Linked DNA regions of Stegostoma tigrinum. The protein of the gene in region 2 purifies or fractionates together with the protein of the main gene of each other region. This does not show direct contact. Links are inferred from orthologs where the notes say so. Each region holds a gene or a part of one and is shown on either strand. Other genes may lie near its edges.

Region 1 (7,803 bases), on a different chromosome or scaffold from region 2:
AGGAATAAAATGATAGATGGGGATAGAGCCCAAAAAGACAGAAGAACAGTCAGACAGACAAAGGAGTGGATCACGATCTGGCTGGGAGGGTGAATAGCTGTTAATGGAGACTGTTAGTGGCAAGCGTGCTATGGCAAGGTATGTGATAGAGTCACAGACTAATACAGCATGGAAACAGGCCCTTCAGAACAAACTGATCCATGCTGACCATGGTGCCCACTCATCCAGTTCCAAATACCCACATTTGGGCCATATCCCTCTAAACCTTTCTTATCCACGTACCTATCCAAAGGTTTTTTAAAAGCTCTATTGTACACCTGCCTCAAAAACTTTCTCTGGCAGTCCATTCCATTTACGCACCATTCTCTGCAGGAAGAAGTTACCCCTCAGGTTCTTCTTAAATCTGTCTCCTCTTACGTTAAACCTATGCCCTCTAGCTTTCAATTCCCCATCCCTGGGAAAAAGACTATATGCATTCATCCTATCTATGCCCCTCATGATGTCATACACCTCATTAAGTTCACCCCTCATTCCCCTACAATCCAAGGAATAAAAGTTCTATCCTGGCCAACCTCTCCTATAGCTCAGGTACTCAGGTTTACTAGTCCTGGCAACATCCTCGTAAATCTTCTTTGCACATTTTCATGTCTAACTATGTCTTTCCTATAACAGGGTGACCAAAACTGTACACAATACTCCAAGCGCAGCCTCACCAACGACTTATACAACTGTAACGTAACGTCCCTATTCCTATAATCAATGCCTGGTGTGTGCGATTCGGGCCAGGACATGGGAGAGTTCAGGCCTTAAAATTATTGAACTCGATATTGAATCCGGAGGGCTGTCAGGTCCCCAGGCAGAAAATAAGGTGTTGTTTCTTCAGCTTTTCCAGTAACACCCTCATTCCAGGAATTCTCCTTAAACTGAGATAACAAGGCGTAGAATTGGATTAACGCAGCAGTCCAAGCAGCATCTTAGGAGCAGGAAAGCTGCCATTTCGGGCCCAGACCCTTTTCTGATACAATGTTAACCCTCCTTTAACTGTTCTTATCACAGAATTGTTATGACACAGATGGAGGTCATTTGACCCATTGAAGCTGCATATGCTCTTCAAATTCAAACATCTTCATTACCTAGTGGAAATCTCCTGTTTTCTTCTCATTCCCTTGCACACTATTTCTATCTTAATAATGATCAAATATCCTTGAATATCTCAACTGAACTTGCCTCAATCATATTTCCAGGCAGTGCATTCTATATCTCAACTATTCACTGTGTGAAAAGATTTTCCTCAGTCTTTTGTGCATCTATGCCTTCTAGTTTCTAATGCAGCTATGTCTATTCCTAAATAAGGAGCCCAAAACTGTACTGCGGATACGGTCTCACCAATGGTTTTTTCAACTAAAGCAAAACATCCCACTTTCACATTCTATTCTCCTTGCAAAAAAATCAAATGCTAGGACACCTAGGTCCCTTTGCACCTTAAGGATTTTTCAATCTCTCTCCATGAAATAATACACTGCTTTTCCTGCCAAAGGGGACAAGTTCACTTTCTCACATTATACTCCATTTTCCTGTTCTGCTAACTTACCTAAATTCCATTGCAGACTTTGGCAGAGCCTACCTGTCTTTGTGTATTAAGCAAGATTTAGCAATGCATTTGGCCCCTTCAGCCGAGTCACTGACAGAGACCATAAGTAGAAGCAGGGCCATAAGACCATTAGACCACAAGACACAGGAGTGGAAGTAAGGCCATTCGGCCCATCAAGTCCACTCTGCCATTTAAATCATGGCTGATGGGCATTTCAACACCACTTCCCTGCACTCTCCCAGTAGCCCTTGATTCCTTTTGAGATCAAGAATTTGTCGATCTCTGCCTTGAAGGCATCCGACGTCCCGGCCTCCACTGCACTCCATGGCAATGAATTCCACAAGCCCACCACTCTCTGGCTGAACAAATGTCGTCTCATTTCAGTTTTAAATTTAACCTCTCTAATTTTAAGGCTGTGCCCACGGGTCCTAGTCTCCCCGCCTAACGGAAACAACTTCCCAGCGTCCACCCCTTCTAAACCATACATTATCTTGTAAGTTTCTATTAGATCTCCCCTCAACCTTCTAAACTCTCATGAGTACAATCCCAGGATCCTTAGCCGTTCATCATACGCTAAACCTACCATTCCAGGGATCATCCGTGTGAATCTCCGCTGGACACGCTCCAGTACTAGTATGTCCTTCCTGAGGTGTGGGGCCCAAATTGGACACAGTATTCTAAATGGGGCCTAACTAGAGCTTTATAAAGCCTCAGAAGCACTTTGCTGCTTTTATATCCCAACCCTCTTGAGATAAATGACAACATTACATTCGCTTTCTTAATTATGGACTCTACCTGCAAGTTAACCTTTACAGAATCCTGGACCAACACTCCCAGATCCCTTTGCACTTCTGCTTTACGAATTTTCTCACCGTTTAGAAAATAGTCCATGCCTGTATTCTTTTTTCCTAAGTGCAAAACCTCACATTTACTCACATTGAATTTCATCAGCCATTTCCTGGACCACTCTCCTAAACTGTCTAAATCTTTCTGCAGCTTCCCCACCTCCTCAGTACTACCTGCTTGTCCACCTATCTTCGTATCATCGGCAAACTTCGCCAGAGGTGAACAGCTGTGGCCCCAACACTGAACCCTGCGGGACACCACTCGTCACCAGTTGCCATTCTGAGAAAGAGCCTTTTATCCCAACTCTCTGCCTTCTGTCAGACAGCCAATCCTCAATCAAGCCAGTAGCTCACCTCGAACACCATGGGCTCTCACCTTGCTCAGCAGCCTCCCGTGAGGCACTGTAGCAAAGGCCTTTTGGAAGCCTAGATAGATAACATCTACCTGGTCTAACATACTTGTTACCTCCTCAAAGAATTCTAACAGGTTTGTCAGGCACAACCTCCCCTTACTAAAACCATGCTGACTTGTTTTAATCTGACCCTGCACTTCCAGGAATTTAGAAATCTCGTCCTTGACAATGCATTCTAGAATTTTACCAACTACCGAGGTTAGGCTAATCGGCCTATAATTTTCCATCTTTTGCCTTGATCCTTTCTTAAACAAGGGAGTTAAAACAGCAATTTTCCAATCATCTGGGACTTTCCCTGACTCCGAGATAATGGGAACTGCAGATGCTGGAGAATTCCAAGATAATAAAATATGAGGCTGGATGAACACAGCAGGCCAAGCAGGAGCAATTTCCCTGACTCCAGTGACTTTTGAAAGATCACGACCAAAGCCTCCGCTATTTCCTCAGCCACCTGCAGGACCCTGCAACATTGATCTGGGGGAAGAGGGGTGGAGGCATTCCACTTGTGACATCTTGCCCAATGAGAAAAAACCATTCACAAAGGCTCAATAATGAGGAAGTACAATTTTAAGGTGAAGGATGAGAAAATTAGAGGGGATTTAATGATTTTTTGTTTTCACTCAGAGAGTAGTGGGAATCTGGAATGCATTCCCAGGAAAAGTAACCTCATGATCTATTTTAAATGCGGAAGAGCACCTGAAATGCCATAACGTTCAAAACTACGGGCAGTTGCCAGAAAGTGAGATTACCACAGAAGGTTTTTTGTCAGTGCAAACTGGATATACTCAATGATTTCCCCTGTATTACAGGCCTAACTCTTGGTTTTTGGGCACACTAGGATATTAGCCCTTGGCACCATGAGTTATCGAAGAACCAGAGACAGCAATCTACGCTCCCCCCTCCACAACACTGCAGCAAAGGATTAATTCACAACTTATATTTTAATAATAGTTTTTCCTGATGAAGGGTCTGGACTCGAAACATCAGCTTTCCCGCTCCTCTGATACTGTTTCAGAGATAATGGGAACTGCAGATGCTGGAGAATCCCAGATAATAAAGTGTGAAGCTGGATGAACACAGCAGGCCAAGCAGCATTTCAGGATTGTGCTCAGCACTGTGCTCCTGAGATGCTGCATGGCCTGCTGTGTTCATCCAGCTTCACACTTTATTATCTCTGATACTGCTTGGCCTGTTGTGTTTATCCAGCTCTACACCTTGTTATCAGCAGCTCCTACTACCTCTGGTATTACAGCGCTCAGGAGCACTTGGCACTTGAGCCTCCGTCTCACGGACGAGAGGCGGGACCTCTGCCAGTGCGCCACATCATCGCGGTCAGCCCATCCGCACGTCACGGGGTAAGCCGTACTGCGCACGCTCGTGGCCGGCGAGCAAATCCCCGGGGCGGCGCCTGAGGACGCGCACGCATTTTGGCGTGCGCTGATTGGGTGCGCGCACGTCGGCGTCCTGCAGAGCTCGAGTCAGGCGGAGGGAAAGAGAGAAAAAAAAATCAGCCCCTTTTACCCTCCCCCCCCCCTCCCCCTCATCCCGGAGAGGATCGGATAAGCGCCATCAGGCAGCAAAGGCTCTGAGTATCAGCCCTGCCCCCCCCCCCCCACGACAATGGCCAGATTGGAGCAAGTACTGATCCTCGATCCGCCCGTCGAGCTCAAATTCAAAGGTGACTGACGCTCGCACCGACATATTTATTTATGTGTTATTGTTACTCTGCATTACACGGACCGGGTGCCGCTCGTCTCACACATTCACACTTCTTCCGTTTTCTTCGCATCCTTCGCTACTGCGGCTGTGGCCCGCCGCCGTAGTTTGCCTTGTCCCGGGTGGGTGGCTGGGAGCTGGTCCTTCAGCACCTATCCTCATCCTTGTTCCCCCCGCCGCCCCCCAACCAACCAAGCTCCGGGGTATTGGGAGGCCCCGGCCGGCTCCACTCGAATCCCCCGGCAGTTCGCTCGCTGCAGCCGCCATTTTGGTAGCGCGGACTAGGCCGCGCCTGGATCCTCGGCTTCGTCGTGATGGTGGTGGCGGCGGCGGCGTCTGCCGCGGCTGGGTTCGGTGTGAACTGAGTGTGCCGCGATTTTCCGCGAGGATCGTCTCGGTTCGGTTCATTCTTTTTCTCGCGGATGTCAGCTTTGCTCCGAGGCCGGGTGTTGCCGGGGGAAGGTGGAATGAGTCAGTTTATGCAGAGTGGGCCCCACGTTACCTGGTCTTTTTAAAAATTATTTTATTATTGCTGGCTGAAATCGGAAACCAGCTCTTTTGAGTAGGGGAAAGGTGCCGAATGCTGTGCTCGCCCCAGAGCACATGGGATTCGGAGGCTGGAGATTTTTTTTCATCCAGATTGCATCCTTCACGCGTTTAGCAGCCGTGGTCTATTTTCAGCAACGTCTCTGTGCACAGATATTCAACCTTACTTCAAAATATTTAGAATTGCCATTTGTAATAGTGGAAAACAGTCTGCTGAAGTGCCTCTTAGGAACATAGAAAGATGACAAGGAGCAGATAGCACTTAAAAAAAATTACTGAATGGTTCAGTAATTTTTAATATTTTAATTAGGAGCTAGACTTCTAACAGTGTATTGATACATCGAATCCTTACCCTGTGTAATGGGATAGCCTTCGTGTGTGTTTTTATAGATATAGTTAGCTGAATAATTATGGCAGAAATAGCAGACAGTTCATACGGTGGTTTTAAGTATTTCTATTTCGTAATTTTTTTACGTTCTAAGAAATGTGTTCAAACAGAAAAAAGCTTCAGGCTTAAATACCAAAATTAAGTTTGGGATAACTAGATACTTGTGTTCGAGTCTGGAGATTTTGCAGTGCTGGGAATAAGAACAGTTTCTCTCAAACTTATTTTCAAGTCCTGATGCTATATTTGGGTCATGGCTGTTTGAGAAGAGCCTCAGTATGTCTTGACCTGTATGCTTACCTTAATGTGATGTTGCATTGCTAGTCTCTTTGACACTTTACCATAGAACTAACTAGCTCCACCCAAAGTGCCAACGAGGCTGTTGGAGACATGACTGAGCTGCAATCTCTGCCCTTTGGCACCAAGTGGATTATGTTTCTTAAGATCATTAGTATGACATGATCTTGCACTTTCTTTGGCTAGGCTTCATTCCAAAGAACAGATCGAGTAAGTAATTTATGCTCTTGTCTTAATTGCTGATTCCAGATGACATTTAAGTTTGACCTTTTTAAAAAATGCTGCTAATTTTCGCTCAAATGTATTGTTGCTGAAAATTAACATAATGTTTTGTCATAAATAAATTGCTCAGTTTGTCAAATTTTGAATAAGGAGGAAAAGTCAGTATCAGTAAAGACTAAAATGGACTTGACAGATTTACATTTGTCTTTTGAAATCTTCTATTAAGAACTGGAATGACTGAAATGTTTTATCCTCTTCAGGGTGAGATTATGGCATTTGTTTTCTGGAGTTTGTGTGACATGTTGAAGCTTTCTTCAGCCTGCCATTGTTTAGGTATTTTATTTCTGATTTAACTAAATTATGCGGAGAAAGTAGTTTTCAATGAAGGAATTTAAATTGCAGTTGCTATGCTGAGTGAAATCAAGCAGTTTTTACCACTCACCACTCTCCACCATCCCTTGTCAAAAATCTGGGTTTTCAACTTTTATTTGACCTTAGACTCTGGAACGTGATAAGCCACATGGTACCTTTCACACCTCCTATTCACCAATGGCTTTGAAGCCTCTTACTCGGGTCTGGAAATTCCTTTGAATTCCACCTTGCTGTTTTTGATCATAACCTCTCTGAAGGGATGTTAATGTTGTGATAATGCTGCTGGATGAATGATTTACAGATGCGACTTCAAATCTCACCACAGCTCAAACTCAGAAAGTTAAAAAGTCTACTGCAGGAAGTCCTTGATTTTTGACTCTCGCAACAGTGAACTCTGATGGCATCAGGTTCAGCTCAGGCAATGCTGGATTACCACCTCCTGTCCTCCCTCCACTGAAAAATCTATGTACTTCATTGTTGAATACTGTCTGGGAGTAATGTTGAGAATAGGAAGGGCACGATTTGTTCTCTGTGAGAAAATTCAATGAGCAATTGTAGCTTTGTAGCTCCACTACTGACTGAGCTCCCAAGGTCATAAATGCTGTGTTGAGCCTGTGACAGCAAACAAGGGAACCAACAAGAGGGACAAGGAAGACCTCGTTCGCACCAATCTATCTGTCACGGATGCATTCCTCTCTGACAGCATTGAGAGGAATGACACAGACTGTGGGGAGATGGAGTCCTGCCCTTTTTGAATATCTGTTCCACTATCTGTGTGGCAGTTTGACCATGCTGAGTTGTAGGAGATGCCACAAGTATCCCCATCCTCATTGATGGTGGGACCTAGGATATCATTGCATTAGACCAGGCTAGAGCATTTGCACGTATCATCAGTCAAATCTATCTGGACTTGCAAAAGGCCTTTGATATGGTGCCTCATGGGAGGCTGCTGAGCAAGGTGAAGGCCCATGGTGTTCGAGGTGAGCTACTGGCTTGGATTGAAGATTGGCTGTCTGACAGAAGGCAGAGAGTTGGGACAAAAGGCTCTTTTTCAGAATGGCAACTGGTGACGAGTGGTGTCCCGCAGGGTTCAGTGTTGGGGCCGCAGCTGTTCACCTTGTATGTTAATGATCTGGATGAAGAGACTGGGGGCATTCTGGCAAAGTTTGCCGATGATACAAATATAGGTGGACAGGCAGGTAGTACTGAGGAGGTGGGGAAGCTGCAGAAAGATTTAGACAGTTTAGGAGAGTGGTCCAGGAAATGGCTGATGAAATTCAACGTGAGCAAATGTGAGGTTTTGCACTTGGGGGAAAAAGAATACAGGCATGGACTATTTTCTAAACGGTGAGAAAATTCGTAAAGCAGAAGTGCAAAGGGATCTGCGAGTGTTGGTCCAGGATTCTCTCAAGGTTA
Region 2 (8,230 bases):
ACTACTGGAAGCAATCTGGTCTATCTATTCAATTCCCTTACGTTACAACTTTACATAATTTTATCAATTGTCCCAGAATCTACAATGATCCAATGAGTAGTGGTATGTGAGAAAGCAGCACCATTGATTAACTGTCAATTCTTAATGCTGTTCTAAGCATTCTAATTTCTCAAATTGCAGAGATAAAATGATAAATAGCATTTGGAAACTCGTAATTTTACTTCTTAATAATTTACTGAAAGTCTTTAATAAGAAACTTGAGCAGAAATCTGTCGCTTTGGAGGTATATTAAAACCTTAGAATTCCTTGTCTGTGGAAATCACTTCCAAGGGTAGGCAACATTCAAAATTAGATTTGATAGATGGATGATGAAAAAGGGAATGAAGGGGCATAGCAACAAGGAACACATGATCAGAACTTGTTTACATAGCAGGTAAATACCAATGTATACTGATTGGGCTTAATTTTCATGTTGTAATTAATATGTCTGAGCATACTAATATATTTCTAATAACTCCCATTTTCAACAGATTCATTAATGTCATCCACATTAAAAGTCAAATGTACACTTGCTCAGATTATGACTCCCAAACTGTAGCTGCAGTTCTTGCCCATTCACACCACAAATATAACATGTTTTTAAATCAAATGTCATGTCCTGGCATGAAACTATGTGAAAGAAACATACATACTATCTCCACCCTATGAAATAACTTGCTCCTATTAGAGGCTTCTGTCTGACGCTGAGCAATGGTAAATTCATGTCATTTTGCTTTGATGAACAAGTTAGTGCTTCACTTAAGTTAAATTCCATACATGTTAACAGTCAAATTGGAATGTGAGTGAGCAATTAAATGAATGCTCAAGGCTACAAAATGGAGTGTGTGCAAAATATAATGTGAATAACAACAAAAAAAAACACATTTTCATACAATTCTTACCAGAGTTCATTGGAAGGGCAGCCCAGCTTGGTCCCATAATGGTAAATTACTCTTATAATTTGTTGTTTCGAAGGCCAAATTGTTAAAATCACATGGTTAGAACATAGAATGTAGAACAATACAGTGCAGAACAGGCCCTTCAGCCCTTGATGTTGTGCCGACCTATTAACTAATCTAAGTCCCTGCCCCTACACTATCCCATCATCATCCATATGCTTATCCAAGGACTGTTTAAATGCCCCTAATGTGGCTGAGTTAACTACATTGGCAGGCAGGGCGTTCCATGCCCTTACCACTTGAGCCTTGAGCCACTGAAATCCAATCAATTAATAGTGGAGTACTTAGAAGGCAAATAGTAATTATTTCTGTAGGTGCTAAAAATACTGACATTTTGTTACACATTTATTGAAAAAATATTCAACACGAAAATAATTGCACATGAAAATTAAATGTTAGACAGCATTTTATTACAAAGTATATGTAGATTTTAGAAAGCATTTGCTCATCCTATAATATGTGAGAATTATTGTTTCCTCTAAGCTAAATGAATTAAGGGTTTTTTAGACCATAAGACCATAAGACATAGAAATGGAAGTAAGGCCATTTGGCCCATCAAGTCCACTCCGCCATTTAAATCATGGCTGATGGGCATTTCAACTCCACTTCCCTGCACTCTCCCCGTAGCCCTTGATTCCTTCTGAGATCAAGAATTTGTCGATCTCTGCCTTGAAGGCATCCAACGTCCCAGCCTCCACTGCACTCCGTGGCAATGAATTCCACAAGCCCACCACTCTCTGGCTGAAGAAATGTCGTCTCATTTCAGTTTTAAATTTACCCCCTCTAATTTTAAGGCTGTGCCCACGGGTCCCAGTTTCCCCGCCTAACGGAAACAACTTCCTAGCATCCACCCCTTCTAAACCATACATTATCTTGTAAGTTTCTAGCACTTGTTGTTCGAGTGCATCACTGATTGATACATCTCAAAATTATTAATTTCATTGCTTTCAGTTAAACCCAACCCTGCTCCAGCAACAAAAGCATTTTTTGTGTTGCATTGCTGGTTAAAGCTGACTTCAAAAAATTCATAGCACAGGATTGAGCAAAAATGTCATTAAGTGTCATGGGAAAATGGTTAAACTTTCTTGTTGCAGGCAGTCTTGTCAAAGTGCTGCGATTCAGTGAAGGATCTGCCTTTGAGCAGAGAACTCAAGAAGTAGTCAGTATATTTAGTTACATTCCACAATATCTCAGATGATGAAGTAATCCAATATTCAAGAATATCTAGATTTAGGCAAGCAAACATTTGGCACCCAAGTGCTGCGATTTTCTTTTTCCTCCAGGTATGGTGCCAAGGCAGTCCTCACGTCTGCCTCAACTGAAATATGGATCAAACCCATTCTGTTGGTATTAAGCTGATCTGCACACTTGCTGTCTATCTCAGCTTCACTTCCTCAAAAATACAGCGTTATCACAGGGAAGTGATTAATTAAGTAGCTTTATATTATTGGGCCTAGGTCATTGTCCTGGGAAAAAAGCAGCAATTACCTGAGGCTGAGATGATTTGTCTTCCAACATCAACCTTCTTTTGTGCCAGATATGATTCTCAACCACTGGAAATTTTTCCTATTTCCCACTGACTTCAATTTTGTTAGGGCTCTTGGGTATCACACGTGGTTGCATGTTGCCATGACTTTAAGGGGAGCCACTGTAATTCCATGTCTGGAGTACAGCTCTTGAGAAAGGCTGGACTGATGTATGAAACTGAGTGGATTTGACTGGGACCAAGCTGAGTCTCAGTGACATGCACAGAACCCATCATCATTCCTCAGATTCTTCACTTCAATGCCGCAGTTTTGTTTGCCGGAAGTAAGCTGAACACACTCCTCTTGCAGAGAAACATACTCTTAACTGAACCCAGAGAATTTAGGTAAACAGTGGCAATTTCAACAATTTTAGGAAGTCTGTAGGTGTACTACAGTTGAAAATAAACTGCCTTAAACAGTAGTCTACAAGAGAATCAAGTGACATTGGGATAGGGAGAAAAGTGGACTTAAGGCTGCAGTCAGATCAGCCATGACCTTACTGAATCGTGGAACAGATTGATGGGCCAAATGACTTATTTCTGCTTCTATTTTGTATGTTCCACATAACTCTTCCCCAATGCAAAGATACAGTTGAAGCAATTAGCAGAAATAAATTGCATTAATAACTTCAAGCGTGTGATCAACTCAATACAAGCTCAAGCAAAGAGGAAGTAGAGAAAACTGTGCTCTTTATTAGCAGGTTAAGTTCTCACTGTACGGACGTAAATTTTAAGCTTCCCCTTCCTACCCTTTTTTTTGAAAGACTTAAGGGATGTAGACATTATGACCATTTATTGCCCATTCTTAGTTCCGCTTGAAGGTGCCTTCTTGAAATACTGTATTTGCTGTGTACACCTACAATGTTGTTGGGAGTTCTAGTATTTTGATACAGTGACATTGACAGAGCAGCAGTACTTTTCCATACCAGATGGTGAGTGGCTTGGAAGCAGTGTGGTCTTTCTTTTGCTCCTCATCAGGTTAAAAGAAATATGGAGATCTACAGCACAGGAGAAGGCCTATTGACCCACAGAGTCAGTACCAGTCAAAAAACAGGCACCTGACAATTCTAAGATAATGGGAACTGCAGATGCTGGAGAATTCCAAGATAATAAAATGTGAGGCTGGATGAACACAGCAGGCCAAGCAGCATCTCAGGAACACAAAAGCTGACGTTTCAGGCCTAGTTTCTAGGCCCGAAACGTCAGCTTTTGTGCTCCTGAGATGCTGCTTGGCCTGCTGTGTTCATCCAGCCTCACATTTTATTAACCTGACAATTCTAATCCCATTATCCAGTACTCAGTTCATAGTCTTGTGTGTCTTGACATTGCAAGTAGACATCTAAATACTACTTAAATATTATGAGGATTTTCTGCACATACTACCCTTATAGATAGTGAATTCCAGATTTCACCAGCCTCTGGATGAAATTGTTTTTCTTTGCATCTCCACTAAATCTCCTGTCCCTTATCTCAAATCCATGTTCCCTGCTTACTGATCCTCCACCAAGGAGAAAGGTTCCTCTCTATCTTTCTTCGCTATCTATTCCCTCATAACGTTTTAACAAAGATCTGTGGCTCAGGTTGTGGCTGGAATTGTTGGCTGTTTCGCAAAGCTGACTGATTTGAGTGCTAATGTTCCACCCCCCTTTTAGATGACATCTTCAGAGCTGTCTAGCCTCTGTCTAAGCCCCTCATAATTTTATATATTCTAATCACATCTCTCCTCAGTTGCAAGGAAAACACCAATCTATCCAACTTCTCCTCACAACTAAACCTCTGCTGTCCAGGCAACAGACTGGCAAATCTCCTCTGCACCTGTCTGGTGCAATCACATCCCTCCTATTATGTGGATTCCAGAATTACACAATACTCTGGCTGTGGCCTGACAAACATTTTATACAATTCAACATGACCTCCCTCCTCCTAAATGATTGGTCTCAGCTAATAGGGCAAACTTCCCATTGCCTTCTTAACTACTTAATCTACTGTCCTCTACCTTAAGGAACCAGCAGACATGCACATCAAGTTTGCTCTGATCCTTAGTGCTTCCTAGATTTCTACCCTTTATATATTCCATTGCCTTGCTTCTCCCGCCCAAATGCATCACCTCACACTTTATTCGGACTGAATTCTATTTGCCGCCACTGACCTGTCTGACCAAATCATCTTCAACCTTCAGTACTCTAAAGCTATCCTCCTGTATTGGCAGTAACCACTTTAGCATCACTGCGCAGCTTTGAAGTGTTTGCTAAAATGTCTGTTTATGAACACAATTCATATGCTTTAACGAAACAACCCAGACTCAGCAATCAAACATCAAACGTCACCACCCAACCCCTGCTGAAAGAGAATTGCACAGTCCTCTGGAGTATCAAGTTGGATAGAATGAGCAGGTGTAACAATGAGTGGTAGGTGCAGGGCCGAATCAGCTGGCTAAGTCGCGGCATGACGCAATGGCAACGCTGGGCCAATGAGAGGCAGGAGGAGGGGCGGGGCGTGTGGGGGCGGGGAAGGGGAAGAGGGCGAAAGAGAAAAAGAGGAAAGTGGCGCCGGGCGGGTGAGGGGAAGCTGAGAATTAAGGATTCTCATACGGAAGAGGTGTGTAGGTGGAGGTTTTTTTTAACACATTAAAAAAAACGCAAGATGCGAAAGTGATAAGAGTTCGATCCTGTCCGTTGGTCTTGAATTTTCCAATGTGCCGAGAAGATGGAGCAAAGCGAAATTCTGAGGAAATTCATTAACCGGGTGCTGGAAATGAAAGTCCGCGACCAGAATGGGGAGGACAACTTTGCCAGCGACTTCATGGTGAGTTTAATTGTTTTTTTTCTCACTTACGAGTATTGTTTTTCCTTTGTAGTAAACGAACTTTCGCGAACTGGAATCGATTTTTCTCCTTTGGGTGAGTTTGGCCGTGTAAGGTTGGTGGCGGCGCCTTAGCAACAACCCTTACCCCTTGTCCCAGCTTCTCAACCAACACCCACTGGGGAGGAATGAGGACCATCACTGCCAGCTCCAGGCTGTGCGGCCTAAACCGCTCCCTCATGGCTTCTCGTTCACTTTCAGAAAACAAAAATCAGAAAGCTGCATTTGTCGGGTGCTGCGAACTCTGTTTTTTCAGAGATACCATTTAAGCTATAGTTTGGACAATTGTAAAGCTGTGTTTGTTAAAGGGTCTGTCTTGAGTGAAACTCCTGCCTTGTACAACAAAAAATGCAATGAATTTATCAGCTGTGACTCAGAAATGTGGGGAGTTTGCGGATGTTGCGCAAGGCACGGGGCGTTGTGTTCGCTCCAACGAAGTGTGTAATGACTGGATTTTCGTTGTTGACTGGACTGTTTTTATTTTTTTGCTTCAGTACAATATTCGGAACACTTCGGGTCCTGATTATTAGACATGCTAGTATCCGCTGGAGTAACTCGGGTACCGAAAAAGAGAATCAGCGTCTACTAGTACCCAGGAACTGTATGTGGGGGGAGGAATACGATTTAGCTGCATTCACTGAATGAAAGAGTTTGTGGACATTAGTGATTGCATGAAGGCAAGATTAAACAGGATTATGATAATCTTTTTTGGTGGAATGAGCCCTCTGGTATTCAATGCTTAGATTGAATCGTTAGCACATAAGTGAAAATGTTGGAGGGAGGTTCATGCCTGTGAATCTTGTCTGTAATGATTCACAACATTTTGGGGAAAATCAACATTGGAAGTTGAATTTTGATTAAAAGTTGCCATCAATGAACAATAGAAGATGGCTGTTCAGTCCATTGACATCTGCATCTATTATTCACCTCCACTGTTACATATTTTAATATAATACATTAAGCACAGTAAATGCCTTTTGGTACTTCACAGGAGAAATTTTATAGAAAGTGACATTAGGAGAGACAGCCAAAAGCTTGGGCAGCAATTTAAGTTTGAAGGCTTGCAGATGCTGCAGTTAAAATCAGGGATGTGCATGAGGTCAGAATGGAAGAACATAAACATTTTGGAATGTGGTAGGGCTGGAGTAACCGTGGAATGAGCTGCCAGAGGTGGTGGAGGAAGCTGGTACAATTGAATAGTTAAAACACATCCGTGTGGGTATATGAATAGGAAGGGGTTGGACGGATGTGGGCTAAATGCTGGCAAATGGGACCAGATTTATTTAGGATACTTGGTCAGGATGATGAGTAGGACATCTTTATGACTCCTTACTTTTGGAACAATAAGGAATGAGGTTGTAGAAGGCTTTGAAAATGAGAATGAATGTTTTAAACTTTGAGGCGTTTTGGACCAGGACTAATAAAGGTGAGCATGCAAGGAGGTGACATTTGAATGGAATCTGTGCGAGTTAAGTTGCAGACAGCAAAGTTTTAAATGAACTCCAATTTAAAATGGAAGATGGGAGGCAAGCCAGATGAGCATTGGAATAGTCAAGACTAAAGCCAGCAAAGGCATAGTTGCTGGGAGAACAAGTGAGCTGCAGAGTTTGGAATCAGACATCACTAAAGGTAACAAGGTGTAGAGCTGGGTGAACGCAGCAGGCCAAGCAGGAAAGCTGACGTTTTGGGTTGGGACTTCTCTTTAGAAGAAACTTCAGCTTTCCTGCTCCTCTACTGCTTGGCCTGTTGTGTTCATTCAGCTCGCTACCTTGTTATCTCAGATTCTCCAGCTTTGACAATTCCCACAATCTCTGAATCACAAGGGTAGAGTTTCATATAAAAGTGGAAAGAACTGTGGATGCAGTAAATCAGAAACAAACACAGAAATTGTTGAAAAAGCTCACCAGGTATGGAAGCATTTATGAAGACAAAGCAGAGTTAACATTTTGGGTCTGGTGACCTGAGGAAGGGTCACTGGTCCCTAAAATGTTAACTCTGATTTCTCTTCAGATGCTGCCAGATCTTCTGAGATTTTCAAGTAATTTCTGTTTGTTGTAGAAGTTTGTATAGTTGGGATGTTGTGAATATATGGTTGAAAGTTCATGTGGTCAAACGTGACAAGGTTGAGAACTACCTTTGTTTCAAGGTTGTAAGGAGTTGATGATAAAATGTGAGGCTGGATGAACACAGCAGGCCAAGCAGCATCTCAGGAGCACAAAAGCTGACTTTTCGGGCCTGGACCCTTCTTCAGAGAGGGGGATGGGGAGAGGGAACTGGAATAAATAGGGAGAGAGGGGGAGGCGGACTGAAGATGGAGAGTAAAGAAGATAGGTGGAGAGAGTATAGGTGGGGAGGTAGGGAGGGGATAGGTCAGTCCAGGGAAGACTGACAGGTCAAGGAGGTGGGATGAGGTTAGTAGGTAGATGGGGGTGCGGCTTGGGGTGGGAGGAAGGGATGGGTGAGAGGAAGAACAGGTGAGGGAGGCAGAGACAGGTTGGACTGGTTTTGGGATGCAGTGGATGGAGTGGAAGAGCTGGGCTGGTTGTGTGGTGCAGTGGGGGGAGGGGACGAACTGGGCTGGTTTAGGGATGCAGTAGGGGAAGGGGAGATTTTGAAACTGGTGAAGCCCACATTGATACCATACGGCTGCAGGGTTCCCAGGCGGAATATGAGTTGCTGTTCCTGCAACCTTCGGGTGGCATCATTGTGGCAGTGCAGGAGGCCCATGATGGACATCTCATCTAGAGAATGGGAGGGGGAGTGGAAATGGTTTGTGACTGGGAGGTGCAGTGTAAGGAGTTGGTTGGAATTTGTGGCTAGGGAATAGCATTTGCATCGTGGACTG

Evidence for each region. The genes of interacting proteins can lie anywhere in the genome.
Region 1: the proteins of tyrosine-protein phosphatase non-receptor type 12-like (region 2) and vapal purify together in Homo sapiens (affinity purification with mass spectrometry; 3 studies listed by BioGRID and IntAct, counting the BioPlex papers as one, with this or other methods). This does not show direct contact. The link is inferred for Stegostoma tigrinum from reciprocal best matches to the Homo sapiens genes PTPN12 and VAPA.

Annotation. Positions count from the first base shown.
Region 1 is NC_081358.1:114,999,870-115,007,672, forward strand, and holds the start of vapal (VAMP (vesicle-associated membrane protein)-associated protein A, like), read left to right. Parts: upstream 1-4,368; 5' UTR 4,369-4,469; coding exon 4,470-4,527; intron 4,528-7,803. UniProt on the Homo sapiens protein: Endoplasmic reticulum (ER)-anchored protein that mediates the formation of contact sites between the ER and endosomes via interaction with FFAT motif-containing proteins such as STARD3 or WDR44.
Region 2 is NC_081378.1:24,619,885-24,628,114, forward strand, and holds the start of tyrosine-protein phosphatase non-receptor type 12-like, read left to right. Parts: upstream 1-5,043; 5' UTR 5,044-5,229; coding exon 5,230-5,328; intron 5,329-8,230. UniProt on the Homo sapiens protein: Dephosphorylates a range of proteins, and thereby regulates cellular signaling cascades. Dephosphorylates cellular tyrosine kinases, such as ERBB2 and PTK2B/PYK2, and thereby regulates signaling via ERBB2 and PTK2B/PYK2.